2 linked regions of the Arabidopsis thaliana genome follow. The protein of the gene in region 1 binds, or shares a complex with, the protein of each later gene. Each region holds a gene or a part of one and is shown on either strand. Other genes may lie near its edges.

Region 1 (10,231 bases):
ATTTGCATCACAAATACAGCTTTTACCATCTCAGGCTTGTTTAGACATTGTTTAATCAGCTCTTCCCATAGATCATCATCGTGCTGCATGGACACAAATTCCACAGCCTGCAGAATATCAATCAAAGTCAACCACCATAGCTTGTTTTATTAATTACCAGTCAGAAAGACATCAATTAGAGTGTACAAGGGGTTGCGGAAAAAAGAGCAGTTACTGAACACACAGTAACAATCACCTCTTCTATATCTCCCAGTTTATTTATGATGACTGCAAGAGCTTGTTTTGCATTTCCCATCCTTCCCAGGACAAACACTTGCTCTCTTAAAAAATCTTTCTTGACACAAAGTTCATATGCCTGAGATATTGCAATAGATCAAGTTCACAAAGACATAACCCAGAGATAGTTCATTTCAGTAAGCTGGGTTGCTTGTAATGTTAAGTACCTTTTCTAACTTGTAATGTTGACTGCTACGTAGGAACGGAAGCAGCATCTTAGTATCGTATTCTGCATAGAGTTCTACCTACAATATGTAATCATTTTAAGAAAATATTTAAGCAAAAGAGAAAGAGAATGGAAAAATTCATTCCATATATCAAGTTAACTACACATACCTGCATATCATGAAAATCCTTCCCGGTATCATGACTAACTTCAAATAATGCATGCAGATATAAGTACAAGTAATATCTTGAATCACATTTTTTGCCAGCTTTCAGAACTTGTGGATTTTTGCCAGCCTTCAGAAGTTGTGGAACAACTTCAGATGGAGGAATCAAATCCCTATTTTGGATAAATAAGACAGTGGCACGCTTGCAATCAAGCAACATTAACTGGACCACCTACACAATTAGATAAGGAAAACAAAGTTCACCGGTCTGTATTGCAGAATTCTGAGGCCATAACAAAATAGCAGTAGATATGCCTAAATCCCAAGATAATACTACTCACAAGACCATCCCATAACTTTAAATTGGAATCAGCTGTGGATCTCCAGATTTGTTTGAATTATGTATTACACAGAAGTTGTACCTATATCTAAGAAAAAATTCATGAACCCCTAAGATGCTAACATTAATGATGATGATTAAATTGTGGATCGTCCAGGAAAAGCCTACATAATGTTAGAAGTCTCAAACTGTGAAAAAAAAAATCTGGTATACCTTTCCGCGAATCGCCTCATGCAAGCTGTATTTCTCAATGAAGTCAAACACTTCTGGTTTGAGAAGCTGGAGATAAAAAAGGAAAAGGAAATTTTAGGTGACTATCAACGGAAGGAGGCCTGAATACGATCTGGGAAGATAATTTTACAAATACTTTCTTAGTACATACGTACATCAGCATATAGGGAGAAGGCCTTCTGATACTGTCCATCAATTACATACAGCTCTGCCAGCGCCTGATACATGAAATAATAAAACAACTCTGAATCCGTAAATGTTAATAAACCTCAGCTTAACATGACAGACAATGCTGACCTCTTTGAGGGCATCTGTCATTGAAGATGTGTTCAGTTGAGGCTCTATTGCTGAGATAACAGTCAAAGCAGAATATACAGAACGTGGCCAAGATTTAACCGCTGACAAAAGCTCCTTGTGGTATGAGGGATTGGTTGCTAGTGCAACTAGAGCAACCTGCATCGTAAAGAAATAAACTTCAAGATAAATCTTATGCCTCCACTGTTTCAAACAAATGTTTGCGTTTACAAGAAAAGTTTTTTTTTTTACTTATCTATTTTAAAATTTCTATGAAATAAAATATTTTCATTTAAGCCTATCTGTAGAAAGTTGTTGATATATACAAACCTCATACACAGTATCCTTAAGCCTTGGGTTATCCGTAGGCATATATGGGACAAGAACAGGCAGCTGGCGTAGTTGAGCAAAATGGAAAACCCACCTGAAAAGAGACACATGATGTTAGATAAAGTACAAAACAACCAAAACAAACACTTTGCAAAGAAGAGATACAAATTTGTTCAAACCTCTCCCAGGCTGAAGCAGATCCTCGTAACAATTTGGGGCATAAAGATGCCGCTTCAGCATATTTTCTTTCCACAATCAAATGATCAAGATACCCAGCTCCCACCTAGATAACTCGTTTGTGTTAGAATTGAAAATCGTTTATACAATAAAGAAAAGAGAACTTAACAGTTGGTTTCTCGAACAAGATTTTCCAGGCTTATGAAACATCTGAACAGAGAATCCTTTGGTATAACGAAAAGGGTAATTCTTTTTTTTCTTTTTTGAAAAGGGTAATTCCAAACTAAAGTGTGTTTTTTGAATGTCGAGATCATGAAATATTGCATATAGAAAAATAAAAAATATGACGGAAAAAAACACTTTCCTATGCATTCATCCAATTTTAGTAGAGAACAGTAAAGAGCGAAAGAATGAACCATAATGCGAAGACAAATAAAAGGTTCAACGCCTATTTTCGAAAAAGTACCTTATCAATTAGTTCGGTTCGTCCTTCACTAGCCTCAACAGCTGCTAGGGCTTTCTCGTGGAATCCATGTTGCAAAAGCCAGTTTATGTGATCTTCAGCATCCCTAACAAGTAAAAAACAGAATAAGTTAGCGACCGCAAGGTTCATTTACAAAGCAATAGAATAACATGGACAAGAAATAGTGACCACAAAAATCTACCTGGGTTTGGCAATCACAACATCCTTTGGCGAAACAATATAGTACAGTGGTTCATCACCAGCTGCCCACTGTCCCCCAGCGTAGCTACTACCTACACTCACATCAATTTTCCGAGTAAGTATTCAAACATATGCTTTCCTTCCCCTAGAAAACAAACTACTTTCCAACAAATCTCTGACCTGGGAAAGGAGCATGAGCAAGGGAATAGTCTTTCGCCTTGTAATGCTCAAAGCCGTGTACAGGAAGAGCATCCATTGTGAGTTCATCATTGTTCCATGATACAATGCGTATTTCAGGCCTCTGGGCATTTCCCTGGATTACTTAAAATCAGACTCAACCACTTCCCAAAAGACATGCCAAAATTTATGTCCCTATATCTCATACCCAACACCAAAACCACCACAAAGAGAGTACCTGACGCGATAGAGTAGTGGTGCTGCTAAATTCCTTCTCACCATCTCCTTCAATGGGTATATAAGCAAGAATAACCAGAGAATCACCAAAGGGAGCAATCCCTGAAATGTAATAGCTGGTTTGGAAAGATGCCACAATATCTACTTGGGTTAGACTAGACATCTGAATCTGCCTAAAAGTTCCAGTTTGTTGCTGGTCTGATTTAATCGACGCAATTTTAACTGATGTTCCCCAACCAATCACAAGGAGAGTGTCATCCTGGAAACAATAAAAAATAACCCTTCAAATCAACGCTGTTACATATGAATTCACAATCAAAGAAGTAATCTGACAAAATGAGTTATTTATACGAACCTGCCAAACCAAGTGGGGTAGTAAAGCCTCAGGCCTGGGGCTTCCTCGCGGTTTTTCAATAAATGTAACACGCTGATCTTTGGCTGTATCATAAACTTTAACACCAACATCATTAGCCCAGGCGATGAGACTTCCTCTCCACTTCACAGAATGAATTGGACCTTCCCCAGAATGCAGCACCTACAAAACTAGCCTCTTATCAAATTCACGGTGAGTAGATTCTATTCCAAAACGTAATCTACCCACATTCTCACAAACCTGATCTTTATTACCGAACCACTTCTTGGAGTTCATATACAAGTGACCAGCCAAGCCACCAGCTACAAATCTCTTAGATTGCTTTTTCGTATAATCTGGATCCAAGGAAATGGCCTTCATGGGGCGATGATAATCAAATTTCATCTTCTCATCATCAGTGAAAAGGCTGTTTATAACAACAGACCCATCGTCTGAACAGCTTCCGATATACTCTCCCTCAGTGTCAAAGTTGATGTCATTAACCGGAGCAGTGTGGGCACGAAATTCTTTAACCTGAACAAAGCATCATAAACAAAACAAAAAAAATTGAACTTTGACAAAACTATAGCTAAAGCAAACTAACTAAACTGTTCCACCACCAACCAATAAAGCCTAACATCTATCGACCTCAGGTCATCATCATTAGAGGAGTATCACCAAAACACTAAAACTCCTAAAATGTTGAAATTGACACTAAAACTTGTACAATGTTGAAATAGACCCGAAATTCCAAAAATCAATGGAAAACTTGCCTGATTCCCCAATAAATCGAGGATACGCACGGTACCGTCGTGCGTACCAAGCGCGATCATCCTCGCAGCAACAGCGATGCAGGAAGCAGCATCGTTAGATAGCAACGCAGGAACGTTGCCACCCATCCTCTGATATTTGAGACGTGGCTCCTCCTCAGCCTCATCTCCGTTCTCTTCTTCTTCTTCTTCTTCTTCCTCCTCCTCGTCCTCTTCTTCTTCCTCTCTTTCGTCATCTCCGTCCACGCCGTTTTCAGGCGGAACCGCAGCCATTACCACCGTGCAATTGCAGTAAACCCCTCCTCCGCAATAGCTCCGATCAGATCAATCAGACTTCAACAGAGAATAACAGATCTGCCTCTTCCTTTCTGAATTCAATCTTCTTCTCCGTTCAAAATTTTGATTCTGGTTTTGGTAAAAATTAAATTAAAATTATTGGTGATGACAGCAGAGAAAATAAATAAATGGAAATTTAATTAATGATTTGGAAGGCGACAAAGAAAAAGGTGCCACGTGTGCGATTGTTACATTAATCTCCTTTACCTGACCCTTTTCTGTTTAGATAGAGACGTGGTGTAGTCGCAGCAACATGAAACTCTCCGAATTTTCACTAGTCTAGAGTTTTTTTTCTATAAAAGGTTGTTAGAAAATAATTAAAGAAGCACAAACAAACCTAAAAGTCCCAATCATTATCTTTATTTTTCATTGAACTTGAAGCTTTTTTTCTTTTACTTACAAACGGTCTAATTAGAGATTTATTAGATTCTTTGAGACAGAGTTACCACGACTTTTGGTTCAAACACAGAGAGAAAAACCTAAGTTTTCTGGCGCGATCAGACCCCAACATCAACTCCTTCGGCATCTTTGTTTAGAAACGGATTCATATAATACTCAATCACTCATAGAGATAATGAGTCTAATAAACAAACAAACGAAGTAGATCTCTATGAGTGCATGATTGATCTAAGATCGATCAAGAATATGTTTGGACAGAGATCTATCCCTAACTACTGGTTTTCACCATTTGTTCTTATGTATATACACAACTAGTTTCACACATACACCTTACGAGTTTTAGTTTTGTTATGTGTGTTATATGTAGTCGTACAAGAAGACGAAACATATTTTAGCCTGAAATTTCAACCCATTAACTGAGTCTCTAGGTTTTATTTTTTCCATTCTCATTACAACTTTCCTCTTTACTAAATGGGGTTATATGTCTCTATCTTCTTAGTTATAAGATTGTCATTTTCTTCACTATTTTACTGTTGCCTTCATTTTCCTCTTAAGCGTAGACTTTGTATACATAAATATGGCCATGTTTTTTTTTTCACTTTTGCTAGTAGTGTCACTGTTCTTTAGCCTTTTCTGGAATCCTAACCAAATTGCATTGTATATCTTACACCTTCTAACCATTTGCAACATAATTAATAACGTTTTATTTTAGTAGGTATCAAAAGTATGACTTTAAAGCCATTAATTGTTTAACAAATGTTAACTACAACAGTTTTGAATTTGACTATAAGAATACATTCTCAAAGAGCATGATCAGCACGAATCCAATGAGTTAAAAAAGAGAATCGAGTTTTGATAGGCCAAAAAGAATGTACAGTCATGGCCCCTACATCTCCCTGATGACCAATAACAACCTAAAAGGACAACATATTTCTCTTAAAAGTTTGACAATCCGTAGGAATAAAGCGCAAACGAAGTTGGAAATATATATATGCATCATCAGAAGAGTCTTCATATATTAGATCAATGTAAAATAAGATTTTCTTTCTACCATCTCAGACTGTTTTCAATACGGCCTTCCAACTACTACTGTCTTGAACATCTATAGAAACGATACTCTAGTGACCAAATATCTTCACATGCAACAAATTCTTAAGAAAAAAAAAAGAGGATGATGAGCTATAAGAGAAATTTTGCATCACACTGTTAAGATTTAATGCTTATTACGTACGTTCAATGGCAGCGACGGGACGTCTTTCATTGACATAAACGACCATTCGATGCAAACACTAAATGCCAACATAACCATATACTTACTTCAATGGGGGGACAAACTTAAAATACAGGTTTCAGTTTGATTATTCAAATTGTGGACTTATATAGAGCACAGAGTAATTAAAATGTTAAACCTATCAAACATCATTTAGCCTTGTAAGTTGTAAGTAATTTTGTTCATGGAGAAAAGACTACAGTAACATGAGCAATTCTCGAACACAAATCAGTGGAGGATGACATGGCGGTATCTGATTGGTTTATATAGTAGGCTGCGAAGGAGCGAATAATTCCAAAGGGGCGAGTCGGAAAGTGGACATCAATTATGAAATGAAAATATTATTTTTAAGTTGATGAAATGGTATCCTATGCCAACCATTTGTACGTATTTAGACATACAATCGAAGAATGATGTGACACATGAGACATTAATTTGGATAAGCTTCTCCGTTAACATTCAAGTTTTAATAGGTAACAAGGGTAATTAACCAAACTTATATTCAAATTAATTACGTTAAACAGTAAACACAAATGAATCTAACTAACTAATTGACTCCGGCATAGTATTTCTATAGGTTTGGACATAGGGGCAGTTGAAAAGTTTCACTTCTAATTCCCAAGACAATTAAGTTGCACAAAAAGCATTGAATATCCGAATATTCAAGATTAATTCATACATGTACATTTTCGCAAAATACAAACTCTTTAATCCCCTTCTTTTTTCTCTCTCTCTCTCTCTCTACCTATATGATATCACTTTCTATATTCCAATTTCACTTTCAAATTAATATTCTTTCCTTTGGAAGGTAAAAGCCCACGAAACTTTCACATCCATGTGACCATGTCTAAGCTTCTCGAGACCCTAGAAGAAGAAAAGACAGTAGAGCAGAAACCCAGAAGCCAAGAAGAAGAAGATCATCAAGATAGCTCGAAGAAAGAAGAGTTGTTAGAATCTCTGTGTACTCCAACTTCAAGTGATCACAAGATTCCGGAGGTGGAGACGTGTCCTCCGCCGCCAAGAAAGCGACCGCGTGAGATTTCTCTCACAAAGAAGACAAGATTGTCCAAAGATCTTCGGTTCTTTGAAGCCACCGACGTCGGGAGCCAAGAGGTAGAGACTTTATTTGTTCACGAACCAAACCATGTCCGTAAGAAACGAAGGAGTAATAGTGCCTGAATCAAATTTGATTCTGTAGATATACTCTTCTTTCTTTACTTGATTTACACATAATTTTCGATCACTTTTATATACCTATTTTAATAAATCTTTAGTCCGAATTCGTATTTTCTTATGGGATTTTAACTCTGGTTCTGTACATGATTTTGTATATATCGATCTTCTTCTTTTTTTTTGTAAAAATGGTGGGATATGATTTTGTTTCTAAGATTTAGCAGGGTTAAGAACTTAGAGATATGAATGGGAGACTAGTAGGTGAATTATGATAACCATCTATCTTTAGGTGTTTAGGGTTAAAAACATAATTACTTTGGTTTGGTAGTGATTTTTTTTTGTTAGTAAAAAAATTGGCATTGAATGATTCAGACATCGAACATGACATAATTTATAAATTAAAGATTAGATTCATAATGATATCTGTGTTATGATAATAATTACTCGTCCCTAATTACTCTCTCCTAAGTCCCAACGTTCTTTATATCTGAGATCCTTTTTTTTTTCTGCTACCACAAAACCATGAAATAGAAAGAAAAATACAATACGAACTAGAAAAAAAAAGTTTTTTAGCGATCAGATAATTAGCGGCCAGTCCAAACATGTTTCAAATTTGTAATGAAATGGAATGAAACCTAATTACATTGTTTATGGGAACGAAATTCTTTTCTAAACTGGTGCTGGTGAAAGGGTGATCGTGGTGTCGTTTGGTCACATATAATTTCATTAAAAATATATAATGGAAAACAAAAATTATATTGTGTAAAATTAAGTACGGTTAAGGATGTTGTATTGGGCTTTTGAGACCCGTTTAGATCTAGTCATTTAAGCCCATTTATATGCCCACCGGGCTTTGGGCTAGTTATTTAAAACAGATACGAATCACCGGATAAGTTTTTCTTACTTTTTAGTTTTTATAACCACCGCGTAGTAGACAGTTAATCACCAATGCTAAGGTATTCGAACGACACGTGGCACCACATGTCAATCGCAGAAGTACTGTTACGACCCATCCCAAAACGCCCTTTTTAAATCTTAACCACATAACATTTTCGGTTATTTCTAACGAAGAATATGGCGCCGAGAAAACCAAAGGTTGTTTCCGTGACGAAGAAGAAGAAAGTAGTGGAAGAGACAATCAAAGTAACCGTCACGGAAGAAGGAGATCCGTGTGTGATCACCGAGACAGCGAACGATCAAGAGACGCAAGATCTCACTTTCTCCATTCCCGTCGGAGAAAACGTTACTACCGTTGAGATTCCAGTGGAGGTTCCAGACGAACGGTCACTTCCCGTCGGAGAAAACGTTACCACCGTTAAGATTCCGGTGGATGATCGAGATGAAAGTTCACCTCAGCCGCCGGAGACTCCGGTGGAGGTTCGAGATGAACCTTCACCTCAGCCACCGGAAACTCCCGCTTCCAAGAGTGAAGGCACTTTGAAGAAAACAGATAAGGTTGAGAAGAAGCAGGAGAATAAGAAGAAGAAGAAAAAGAAGAAGAGAGACGATTTGGCGGGAGATGAGTATAGGAGATATGTGTATAAGGTGATGAAGCAAGTGCATCCGGATTTAGGTATAACGTCGAAGGCGATGACGGTGGTGAACATGTTCATGGGAGATATGTTCGAGAGGATAGCGCAGGAGGCAGCGAGGTTAAGCGATTATACAAAGCGGAGGACGTTGTCTTCGAGGGAGATCGAAGCAGCGGTTAGGTTGGTTCTGCCTGGTGAACTTAGCCGCCACGCTGTCGCTGAAGGCTCTAAAGCTGTTAGTAACTTCGTTGGTTATGATAGTAGGAAACGTTAGTTGGTTTTGATTCCCTAATCGTTGTATCTTTTTTCGTGTAATGTTTTTTTCAACTTGACTGTTAGTGTAAGGTTTAACTTAGAGAGTATGGTTTCTATAGTTGTATTTCGTTTTATGTTACATGTTCTGTAGAATATATGTTATGTTGTTGAAAATGGAGATGGACTTGATCATTTGAATCGTGGTTTATTTAGCTTTCATATTTTGTTCTCTTACATTTGTTGTGTCGTTAAAATTAGTGACATCCACTAAAGTAATTTGATCTTGTGTGTGTTTGTAGAAACAGAGCCATTGACAAGTGATGCAGAATAAGGGAAAAGATAATGGGAACTATGGAAAAGGTAAAAGTAAAAAGTACTCACTACATGCTGAGCATTGAAGTTGGTCGCCGCATATCCCTTGAAAGATCCTTTCTCCTTGACCTTCTCCACCCCAACCTCTACATATATTGATACACATACATGAGAACGTGTCTGAGTATATATGTGTTTTTGTACCATAAAAACACACAACCAACTCAGAATGCATAACAACAATATATGCATAAGCAGCACCACCAAAAGGAATATACCATAAGTTATTCGATATGTAGAAATATATCCCCCCCCCCCCCCCAAAAAAGGTGAAAAATAAAAATTGATCCCACTTCAACTGTATCAACTTATACTAATTACAAAGGCATACTTTATTATACAAAAAAGCATGTATCATCACTTTGCAATAACTTTTTAAAGTTTCACTAGTGTCACATGCATTTTCTATAAAACTATCTTCTTGTACCTTTCACAACTAATGAATTATGATCGCCATCTCTCACCCGGTGCCGGTAGCATGGCTAATAATAAGAGCAAAGTCGAGCCAAAAACTCACGAAGAAGATCTTCGGGTTAGTCGTTTAATGATGATTATTATCATTATTTTGTTTACCTCTATTCTTCTAATAATTATGACTACTCTTCTGATCTTGTCCTGAACCAGTCTAAGGGATCACCGACACCTACTATAGGCTATAATAAGAAGAGTCGATGAACATGTTTGGAAGAGAAAAGAGATCAAGATTTTGACCGA
Region 2 (10,231 bases), on another chromosome or scaffold:
TACAACAAGAGCCAAACTGGTTTTGTCAAGAGTCAAGACCATCATTTTGAACCAAACACAAAAAACCACAGAAGAAAACACCAAAAAAGTAGCTCCAAATCTCTCTCTATAAACAGACAAACAACACGAAAGGAGCTTTTTCTTTAATTGCACTTTGGGAGTTTTGTAAAAAAGAAAAGATGGTTTAGTGTCTTAAACCTCTCTTTGTTACAGTAATTGATGATTACCTCATCGTCTTCTTCCATGTGTTGTCTTAGAAACAGCTTTCATGCCTTGAGAATCTCTGAAGCATACAAAGTGAACTAACGTTTTCCCGTTGGGATAAACAGCAAATACGCTTGTCCCTATCTTCTTGTTGCACAATGAGCACATGCTTTCGCTTGTTACTTGCGCTACTCCTTTCCTATGTTTGTATAGTTCCTCTTTCACCTATTCGTTTCACATCATCAATTTCACATACGGGTTTCTTTTAATGCTAGGTGTCAATAGTTCCAGAAACACAAACATACCTGTAAGTTTTCACTCTGCCTCAAACTCTTGATGACTGAAAAGTTTCTGTGAGCTTCACTTGAATTTCTTAGAAGGGGTGCAAGAAACGGAAGCAGGTTCTGTAGGAATTGGATAATAGAATAGGTGAGCTTCAATAAAATGCTAGTAAGTAGTTATGGGATAAGTATAAGTCAGATTCAAAACATTTACATGGAGTTTAGTTTCTCTAGGCAAAAGCTTGAGGGCTTGTGCACCGTTGATCCTCTCCCACCTTTGGCTCAACAGATCAAGAACTTCAGAGATCATAACGGTGGAGTCTCCTTCTTCCAAGGGTTCTTCAGTATCAACATCGCTTCTTCCACTGTCAGTGCTGCTACTGAGACCAACTCGCATATCCTCAGCGCCTTCTATTGCAACAATTTTCTTGGATCGGCCTCCTTTAGCTTTTGAAGATAAAACAGAGTCCATCATTTTTGTGGTGTCTGAACTTTCGAATGATCCTAGAGCTACAATTCGTTTTGCAAAGTCTTTTGCGCTTTTCTTAGGATTCAGGTATATTTGCAGCACTGTGAGGTAGATATTGCTTGACGGTTTTCCAGATGGTAGATAAGTAACAGACTCATATATACGATCACAGTAAGCCAGCGCCAGATCAGGTGCATGAAGCTATCAGAAAGAAAAAAACAAAGAGTTAAGCCATAAGCAACAACACTCCATAGAATCCACCGATATCTGAGTTCTAAATAGTTTCAGAGTATACTTATCTACACAATGATACAATTATCTAACAATGCATTTGCATATCAAAGTGTTTTTTACCACAACTGGCCAACAATTAGAAGATTATTTGGTGAAATAAATTAATGATATTTGGTTCATGTTAAAGATCGACAAAGCAAGCTCATGTTGATGGGTACCTTATGAACATAGATGGACAAAGCAAGCTCATGTTGGTTCATTTTGCCCAATATAACTGCACGCTCTTCATAGAGAGCATCACGTGGAAGACGCTTCAACAAAGGCTGCGGACTATATCCGGAGATGCTCTCTAACGCAGACAATAGTTTTTTCCTTTCAGGAGGATGATCCTTCTCATCCCATTTCTGCTGCGCACTCTTTGCAGCATACAAGTCAAGCACTTCTGAAAGATAGATTTGTACCTGTAACATCATCCAAATTGTTACTGCCAGCAATATGTAACGTAAACTCACTGAAAATGCTTCCCATAAGTGTGGTTTCCTCACCATCTCGTTTTGGAGATTTCCAGAAACTGCGGTGTCATTCATTGCCATCATAAGTTCTAAATATCTACCCTGCATATTTGGAGCATGCTGCTTCAGATACGAATTGACAAGGTCAGCTGAGATATTTCCAGACAAAAACAAGTCGATGGTTTGAGTTGGACAGCTTTCCAGGACAAGCATAGAATACTCCAAGACAAGCATTGGATCAGTCCTGCAGAGAGGCTGCAGAGAGAAATCCACCAACAGAAAGTTAGCATCTCACAGCTGTTTCTTAGAATACTCATTATTTTCAGTCAGTACCAAAATCAAAGGTGGTTAACAAATTTGTAGTTTTCTATAACCATTTAGAATCTAAAGATAGACAAAGACGAAAGGTTAGCACCGAGAAAACCTGCCTTGAGATATTCGATGATCAACTCAGGACTAAATATCTGTGTAACATCAGTTTGTGACTGGTTTGTTTTAGACTCATCCGCCAGCTGGTTAAGAAGCTTAAGGGCTTCATGGTGCATCGAATTGCTCTTGAACAGTTCTAATAGTGCAGAATAATTTTTACTTTTCATGAGAATCTCCTCACAAATCTTAACGTCACTGTAGTTGACACCCTTTAATAACTCTATAGCAGCTCCAGACTGGCCAGTGTGTAGAAGTGCTTGGAGAAGAGCTGTATCAAGGATTGCTGCCATCTCTCTTGCACCTGAATTAAGAGGGATCATACCACGTCCCTGCAGAAAAAAAGATGTTAAGTCCCCAACAAATTACTATCAAACGTACAAATCAAGGGAAGCTGCTTATATTATCCATGCATCAACTTCCAAGGAATTAGTCAGTCAGTAGCTCCCAAAAGCTTATAAAGTGTTAATATCCAAGAACTAGTCATCAATTAGGTATCGCGGAAGATAAATCATCTGCACCTTGCTGGACTTCTTAGACTTAGATGAATCATTTGCCCCGTAAGTTTTACCAACAGCATCCGAAATGACCTCTTCTGTTCCTTCAGAAGTGGCCTTCTCGATAACAGCCGGCCTCCTCTTCAGCAAGTACTTTATAAGAGCCATCAAAGTGTTGTGACTCATTTTCTTAGATTCAAGGTCTGCATTGTCCTCAGATTCCAAAAAATATCGAGGAGATGAAGACTCCATATCATCTGAAATGCCGGATGAACCTCTTGACAGAGATGCTTCATCACCAGAAATGTCCACCATCTTATCTGGTTGAGGAATAATAGTTGTTTTAGGAAGAATGATGGATGGATACATGGAAAGTACATGCGTGATATCTACTTGAGATGCGAGGAAGTGTTCCATGGCTTCCTCATAGCTCCCGTTCTCAAAAAGATAATGAGCAAATCTGTATCATGATAACGAGACAACAAATATGAACAAAAAGATTCCCATGGAACTGCACTATTAATGTGTAACTAGTAGAAGGAAGAGAGGGCTTCTAGCTTTACACACCTTGTGTGAATTGAACTCTCTTTCGCAGCTCGTAGGCTTGACTCATCAGGGGGGAGTACTTTGCATAGAGCTAAGGCTTCCTCAAAATTTCCCGAAGCTGTTAATTGCACAATCTACAATGAAACTCAACCTTTTCAAAATATTTCAAAAGCAGCTACTGCGAGTAAAATCAAAGTCTTTACAAAGAATACTGAAATAGTGTCATATTCAACCGATATATTAGGTAAAATGAAACACATTTTCATATTCATCCACAAGAAACCATGAGCAGCAGCAAGAAACATCAATATTCTCAGGGCTAAAGTGAATACCTGGGCACCAATAGAGACAGGGAAGAGAACATAAACAGAGTTATCCAAACCAACAATCACAGCATTGTTGCTCTTGACCAGGCGACGAATGTTTTGAAGAACAATTGTCTGTATTAAAGGATATGGACTTCGGAGCAAGCGAACCTATCAAAACAAAGCCAAAAGGAATAAGCACATAACAGGTATCCAGAAACTAGAAGGAAAGCAAAACTACAATATCTCTAGGCAGGAACCTTATATACCTCAACTCGACGAGGTAACAAGGCTATCGCATAAGGGTTTTGAATGACAATAGACGTTGGGGCCTCTGACCAACAGATTCTCTCTGTTTGAAGGAGCTTCCCATTTTGATCAACAAAAACTCCAATGTTCTCCTACATGTACAAGAAGAAACTAATGAAGACAACATTTCAAAACCGAACAAATACATTGAATGGGGGAAAAAGGAAAAGCATAACTACCTTTCCCAAAATAAGTTCACCAGAAGGTAGAGATATCACGAGAGGAGGAGCAACCCTACCAGAAGGAAACACCTCAGAGAGAGTCCCATTAGCAGTATTAAGTATCACATACTCTTTCTTAATGCCTAAACAGATGTTTTCTCCACACCAAGAAATAGACTTGACAGTATCAGGAACTCCATAGTCTCTGACCTCTACAAATCCTCCTCCTCCTAAAAAATCAACAGAAACAACATTTCATCAAAATCCAATCCTCATGATTCAAAGTTGAGTTTCAGAGATTTTTACCATCGTGCTTGAAAACACAGACTCTCTTTTGCCTAGAGAAACACAAGAACCCACGCCGATCATCCCAAGAATAAGCATTAGCACCTTTAGCTTTAGTAATCACAGCAACAGTCTCCAAATTAGGAAGTCCATGAAACGCAATTGACTCAGAGAGAGACAAAAGCAACTCTCTCGAAGCCAAAACCTCCATCGCCACAATCGGTTTCTTAGAGAATCCAGCTACCGTCTTCTCTAGCACGTAAGTCTCTTGATGCAGCTCCGACGGATCGGAGGCAGAAGATTCCGGTGGAGAGTAAATGCGGAGAGAACCGTCATAACATCCAGCGAAGAGCTTGGAGCCGTAGGATTCAACAGCATCGATCCTAGCGGGACAATCTTTGAGAAGCTGAAACGAATCATAAGCGTTGTGAACCATATCTTCGATCGATTTCTGGGTTCTTCTTCTGGGAATCACCACGCATTCATCATGTTCAAAATCCAATTACAACAGAGATGATTGATTTTTTATTTTTTTCACAACGTGCGTTGATAAATTATGAAAAAAAAGGAAAAAATCGTAAAATTTAAAAATTTAAATGAATTAAGGACAAATGGTCCCGGCGGGGCTCGAACCCGCGACCTTCGGCTCATAAGACCAACGCTCTAACCAACTGAGCTACGGGACCTTTTGTTCTCTTTAAGTTCAATATTATATTTAAAGTTTAATATTATATTTAAAGTCTAAGATTTGATCATCACCTCACTAGACGACAATAACTTCTCTGATTTCATCATAACTGTATTTAACTTGAGAAACAATAGAACTAAAAGGATAATCTCATATCTTCAACTAATAACACAAAACTAGTAGTATTACACATGGTAACAATATTCTCTCACACATACAGGATAGTCTCTGCTAATTAAAAACGTTACAAAGTGTTTGGCTCACTAATAAGAAAAAGAGGCAAAGACTATTTGAAACTTTATTGATCATCAAGTTAACCAGCACATTCTATTGGCTTTTCTTCTATGAATGAGAATAACCCTTTTATTCTTCTTCTCTTCTTGCTCTTGTGTGTATATATCGTTCAACTCTCAGCTAGCTGCTGATGCGATTTCTATCGCCGGCTCAGGAACAACATCGGATGGAGAGAAACCGTTTGTTTTCGGATAGTGCTTCCCCTCTAGTCCCCAGTATTTTGCGGTTTTGAGATCGTCTTCATACATTTGTCGTGAGAAATCTTCATGATCATACTCTAGTGTTGCTTCACCTCCGAATTCCTTGGGGAGATTCTCAACGTCAAAATGTGTCGTCATCAGTTCATCACTTGCTTTGTCTTTTGGGTACACAAATTTCACCTTTTCAGCTGTACGTGGGTCCAAGAAGTACTTAGCAGCCTACATGAAAGAATATAGTAGGTATATAGTAAACCTTTTTAAAGAAAAAGAGAAGAGAGACAATTTTGATGGTTTTGTAATAATGACGAATGTTTTTTTTGTGTACCCTGTAGACTGCTTGGAAGAGTCTTGGTGGATTGTAGAGAAAGGCGATACCGAGTCTCTCAGGGTAATAGTTCTGTAGAATGTGAATGATTTCGCGTGTTGTTTTCATAGGAGGATTAACAGCCATAGACCAACCAGTGAAATCAATGAGCCAAGACATTTGTTTTTGTCCCTTGGGAAGATTTATGATTGCATTTTCAAGAAGATACACCAAATGCCTGATATTACCTTCTTGTGATGTTGAGTTCTGTTTCATTTTTATTAAGTGAGATATCATTTTTAAAAAAAACTCAAGAAAAATATTCATAAAGGTGACAATGGGCTTAGTTACCTGCATGGCTGGTCTCATTATAAGCACTACTCTACCTTGTCGATCATGAAAACTAGCTCTTGAAGCTTTTCCGGTCTCACCTTCATGTGCTACTTGATTCTGAAGAGAATCAGAAGAAGATGATTAAAAAAAAAGTAAGAAAAAAATACAAAGTAACAAGAAGATTAAAATGAAGTATATAATAAAGTCAAATATTTACCCAACGGATCTCTTGAGGTTTATAAGTTGATCTCCATTTAAGAGTCTCTTGGATCATTTTCTTGGCTTTTTCCACATCCCAATTACGAGCATCTAGAAATCTCCTCAAGGAAGCATCAGAGCAGAAAACTAAACTATGTCCCGATAATGGTCCTATCGCGGATTTCAATTCTCTAACCTGAAATTTGTACAAGTGTTTTAAATACTTTCCAAAATATATGTTAATGTTTTCATATAGTGTGAAAAAGAAGCAGCTTATTGTACCTTGTTATCTTGTTGAGAATCATCATTGTCGAGTTGGTGAGCATTCCTTCTTCTGAACATGTTTAATTAAACAACAATCTTGAGACAGCTTCGAAGCCTAGAAACGATCAAATCAAATTCAGATTTCTTTCAAGTCCAATTTAAAGCAAATTAAATCAGATCCAAGATTAAGCAAAAGGTTTTAATAATATCGGCTATTAATAGAAAACTGATAAACACAACCAAATCTTACATCTAAAACGGGATCATGAATTCTATTAGTATTTACCACTTGAAAAATCTCTAATGAGGTATACAAATTTTCGTTATAATCCAACTTTGAATCTTCTTAACATCTGATAAACTCTCTTCTAGAAAGCATTAAATCGACTTGTCAAAAGGACATAAATACGGCTTTAAATGATTCAAAGAATTTCTTATATTTGACTTTTTAAAAGCACACAAACAGAGAATTTATCAAAAAAACAAAACAAGACTCTGACATCTCTCAGCCATCAAAATTTTCTTTCTTTTTTGGTCACCATGAAACTTTTTTCTAAATATGATCATGAAACATTGAAACCTAAACATTTCTAATCAAGAGAGACTTGTAAAAACAGAAGGAAGCTAAATCGAAGCAAAACGATCGAGAATCAAACACAAACGAATCAAAATCGAAACGTAAAAGGGAATCTCATTCTTACCTAATAATACGGATCTTTCTTTCTTTCTTTCTTTCTTTCAGTAGATTAAACTGATCACAGAGAGAGAGAGAGAGGCTCGATGGAGTTTGGTCGTCACGCGAGTATCATTCCCACTTCAAAGGGACTTAAAAAGCGAGAAACGTGAAGAAAATGTATTTTAACCAATTTATGTGGCATGTAAAATTTCAATAAAACTTTAAAGCTGGCCCTTTGTTTGTTATTGTGAAAGGCCCCATTGGTTGAAAATAATAAATATGATTTACTTTAATAACATTAATTTTCAGTATTGGCGTTGGACCAAATAACTCAGATCTGAAATGATTTTATGACAAGAGGACAAGATCCGAATTTGGTGAAGTAATAACAAATTTGGTCATTTTCCAAAATTCTAACCTTCTTTCACGTTTAACTAACTCTTATCTGTCTTTGTTTATTGTGTCACGATAGAGAACAGGTAAATTATGATTAGAAAACTTATTGAGTTCACTAATTAGCTTCAAAATAATTAAAAAAATGTAACAGTTTTTTCATACTATATTCATTATGTATTTATGTGCAAACCACTCTTTCATGGTTTTAGGTAGAAGAACAAAAAAACGAAGAAGAAAAGTCCATAAAGGACAGCATCAGCTAATAATAATAATTAAAATGTAACGTTTTACTCGATCTATTGATTTTTATAATATTAAAGATTCGGTTTATCATCGCAATCATGTGCGTATGATTTGGTTTAATCAAATTAAACGGTTCCTGGACTATGTTAGTTAACATATATTTGGTTTTGTATTATATTAACAGCATTGACAATGGACGATTATTAAATGGCATACAATTTAAAATAACACCATGTGACGTTAATCCGACACCAAATCTTTTCTTAATCTGATACTTTCATATCATCTCTTCTACCAAGATATATATTGGTCTTCTATCAAATAGGTATACACTGAGAATAATGTTATTTTATATTGATAGTTTCTCTGTATTTGGAGTCGACGTTTTCTTCATATAATCGAAAGAACATCTTATCAGTTGTTGTTAAATTGTTGTTGTTACTTGTTACCACATAAAAAATATTAGTATTCAAATGTTGCCGACCTCAATCAACTGGAATTTAACAAAACTTTATATGCATAATGTTATCTATATGAATGAAAGGTATTTATAATATTGAATAGTCTGTATCACACAAATTATTATTAGAAATTATTAATACTAGGTTTTAAAAAAAAAAAAAAAAAAAAAAAAACTAGCATTATAGCAAAACGAAAATGTAACACTGGTTTTCACTCTTTCTAAAACCTAAAAACCAAACCAAGTAAACCGGATTGTCCACCTCTATATATAACATATTTAAACCATATATTCAATATGACATTGTTTGTTTAAGAAAGTACATGAATTTTTAAAGTTCCTTTAAAAAATATGAAATTAATTACCTTAACTTTTTTTTTATATTATAAAAATATTCTTTATCAACTAAGAAATGACGAATACATAGAGATGGTGAATGAGTTAGCCTTGATAAATATCATAACCCAACAATGATTAACAGAGTTTTGCAGTCATCTTTCATTAGTATGTTTTTTTATTACTGTTAAGTGAATTATGCTCCTTGCTTATTGCTTGTAGTCCAAATAACACAACTAGTTAGGACTTAGGATGTCAGTCCATGTTTAGACGCCGTTGCTTTAAAAATGATCAATTCCACCTTCCTCCGTGGCAGATGCTAAATTTTACAGAGGCCCTTTTACGGCTGCCCTGGTTTTAGCAATAACATCGGCAGATCATATTCAACACACATAGATTTGAAATATTGTGTTATACAATGACATGATAAAGGTAAAAGAGGATAGAAAGTCGACAGATCTGGATGGATTCGAACCACCAACCTCTCATAATGAGAGCTCTACCATTTTGAGCTTACAGATCTATTAGCACAAACCTTGCCTATTTGGATCAACTCCATGGGCTACCGAGAATCATTTCTAATATGGTCGCTCCAATATTCCACCCCACTTGAAGCATCCTGAAGACGGAAAGCCCACGGTTGCAAGAGTTTAATAAAACCAAATTAGATATAAATCAAACTTGAAATTTATATATAAAATCATCAAATAGAACTAATTTGAAGTAGTAACACCACAGAGTTGTATGATATCAAACAATGATCAATGCATAAACTGAAACTGACTTATTAAATTTGAAAGATCCCATCAGAATGCAAAAGTCTAAAAAAAACTACTGTACGAAATGATACAACAACAGAGTATATATCAATCGAAACTGCAGGCTCGAATCGAGTCCAAACGCCATCATATCAAAAATCAGAGACCTTCGATACTCGTATTACTTCTCCAGGAGCTAGCTACTCTAGCCATAGCTCTTGCTAATGAATGCAGCCGTGATAAATCCAAATCGTAAAACCCATACGAGAGACTAAATACTACAGCGCTATTTTCTAGAATAGGTCAGAATATTCACTACTGATATTTCTTTACGTAATCATAAAACTGGGTACAATTTCTTCCAATGAGAATTCTTACAGAAAAAGTACAAACATCAAACAACAGTAGATAGATAAAGTGGAGAATATAACAAACTGCCATGGAACCGTTCGATTAGACAATTTAAGGTCCTACGAATACTTTGGTAGAAGTACTTTGTGAATAATGTATTATAACAGTCAATTTGAAAATGAGGCAACTATTTCCATGCTCAAAAATAAAGGCCGATTCGAGATTGTAATAAATATTTGGTGTCAGGTTTGTTATATGATGCAAATAAAGAGAATAACGGAGAATTTAAACTCAAAATTGAAGGTACCTTGGTTGGAGGATGTTGGATTAAGATTTGGCCAGCTTGTCTCCAGATCCGCTGATCTTAAGATCCGGATCGAGAATATTTCTGTGGTATTGAGAGAATTTACGTGAATGAATCGAGATCAAAGGTAGTGTGTACGAAGAGCGAGAAGCAAGACACACACGCAAGAGGGGAGAACCCGGGCAAAAAAAATCCCC

The links.
Region 2: VPS41 (region 1) and EMB2754 share a complex: the UniProt entries of both Arabidopsis thaliana proteins name them as parts of the homotypic fusion and vacuole protein sorting (HOPS) complex.

Annotation. Positions count from the first base shown.
Region 1 is NC_003070.9:2,561,874-2,572,104, reverse strand, and holds the start of VPS41 (vacuolar protein sorting 41), read right to left. Parts: upstream 4,686-10,231; 5' UTR 4,454-4,685; coding exon 4,184-4,453; intron 3,945-4,183; coding exon 3,672-3,944; intron 3,594-3,671; coding exon 3,414-3,593; intron 3,318-3,413; coding exon 3,060-3,317; intron 2,958-3,059; coding exon 2,825-2,957; intron 2,737-2,824; coding exon 2,646-2,736; intron 2,550-2,645; coding exon 2,447-2,549; intron 2,087-2,446; coding exon 1,983-2,086; intron 1,898-1,982; coding exon 1,804-1,897; intron 1,633-1,803; coding exon 1,477-1,632; intron 1,398-1,476; coding exon 1,335-1,397; intron 1,228-1,334; coding exon 1,162-1,227; intron 841-1,161; coding exon 613-840; intron 522-612; coding exon 444-521; intron 356-443; coding exon 236-355; intron 108-235; coding exon 27-107; intron 1-26. Other genes in the region: AT1G08180 (cyclin-dependent kinase inhibitor), read left to right, coding at 7,029-7,364; AT1G08170 (Histone superfamily protein), read left to right, coding at 8,433-9,164; AT1G08165 (uncharacterized protein), read left to right, coding at 9,957-10,049, 10,142-10,192. UniProt on the Arabidopsis thaliana protein: Required for vacuolar assembly and vacuolar traffic.
Region 2 is NC_003075.7:17,271,860-17,282,090, forward strand, and holds the start of EMB2754 (Vacuolar sorting protein 39), read right to left. Parts: upstream 4,768-10,231; 5' UTR 4,666-4,767; coding exon 4,251-4,665; intron 4,175-4,250; coding exon 3,963-4,174; intron 3,876-3,962; coding exon 3,744-3,875; intron 3,646-3,743; coding exon 3,502-3,645; intron 3,304-3,501; coding exon 3,191-3,303; intron 3,084-3,190; coding exon 2,648-3,083; intron 2,459-2,647; coding exon 2,129-2,458; intron 1,956-2,128; coding exon 1,734-1,955; intron 1,650-1,733; coding exon 1,407-1,649; intron 1,156-1,406; coding exon 700-1,155; coding exon of another isoform or gene 652-699; exon of another isoform or gene 618-651; intron 609-617; coding exon 510-608; intron 430-509; coding exon 229-429; 3' UTR 1-228. Other genes in the region: AT4G36640 (Sec14p-like phosphatidylinositol transfer family protein), read right to left, coding at 5,328-5,630, 5,737-5,982, 6,067-6,165, 6,266-6,442, 6,529-6,588. UniProt on the Arabidopsis thaliana protein: Essential protein required during embryogenesis. Believed to act in part as a component of the putative HOPS endosomal tethering complex. HOPS is required for the central vacuole formation.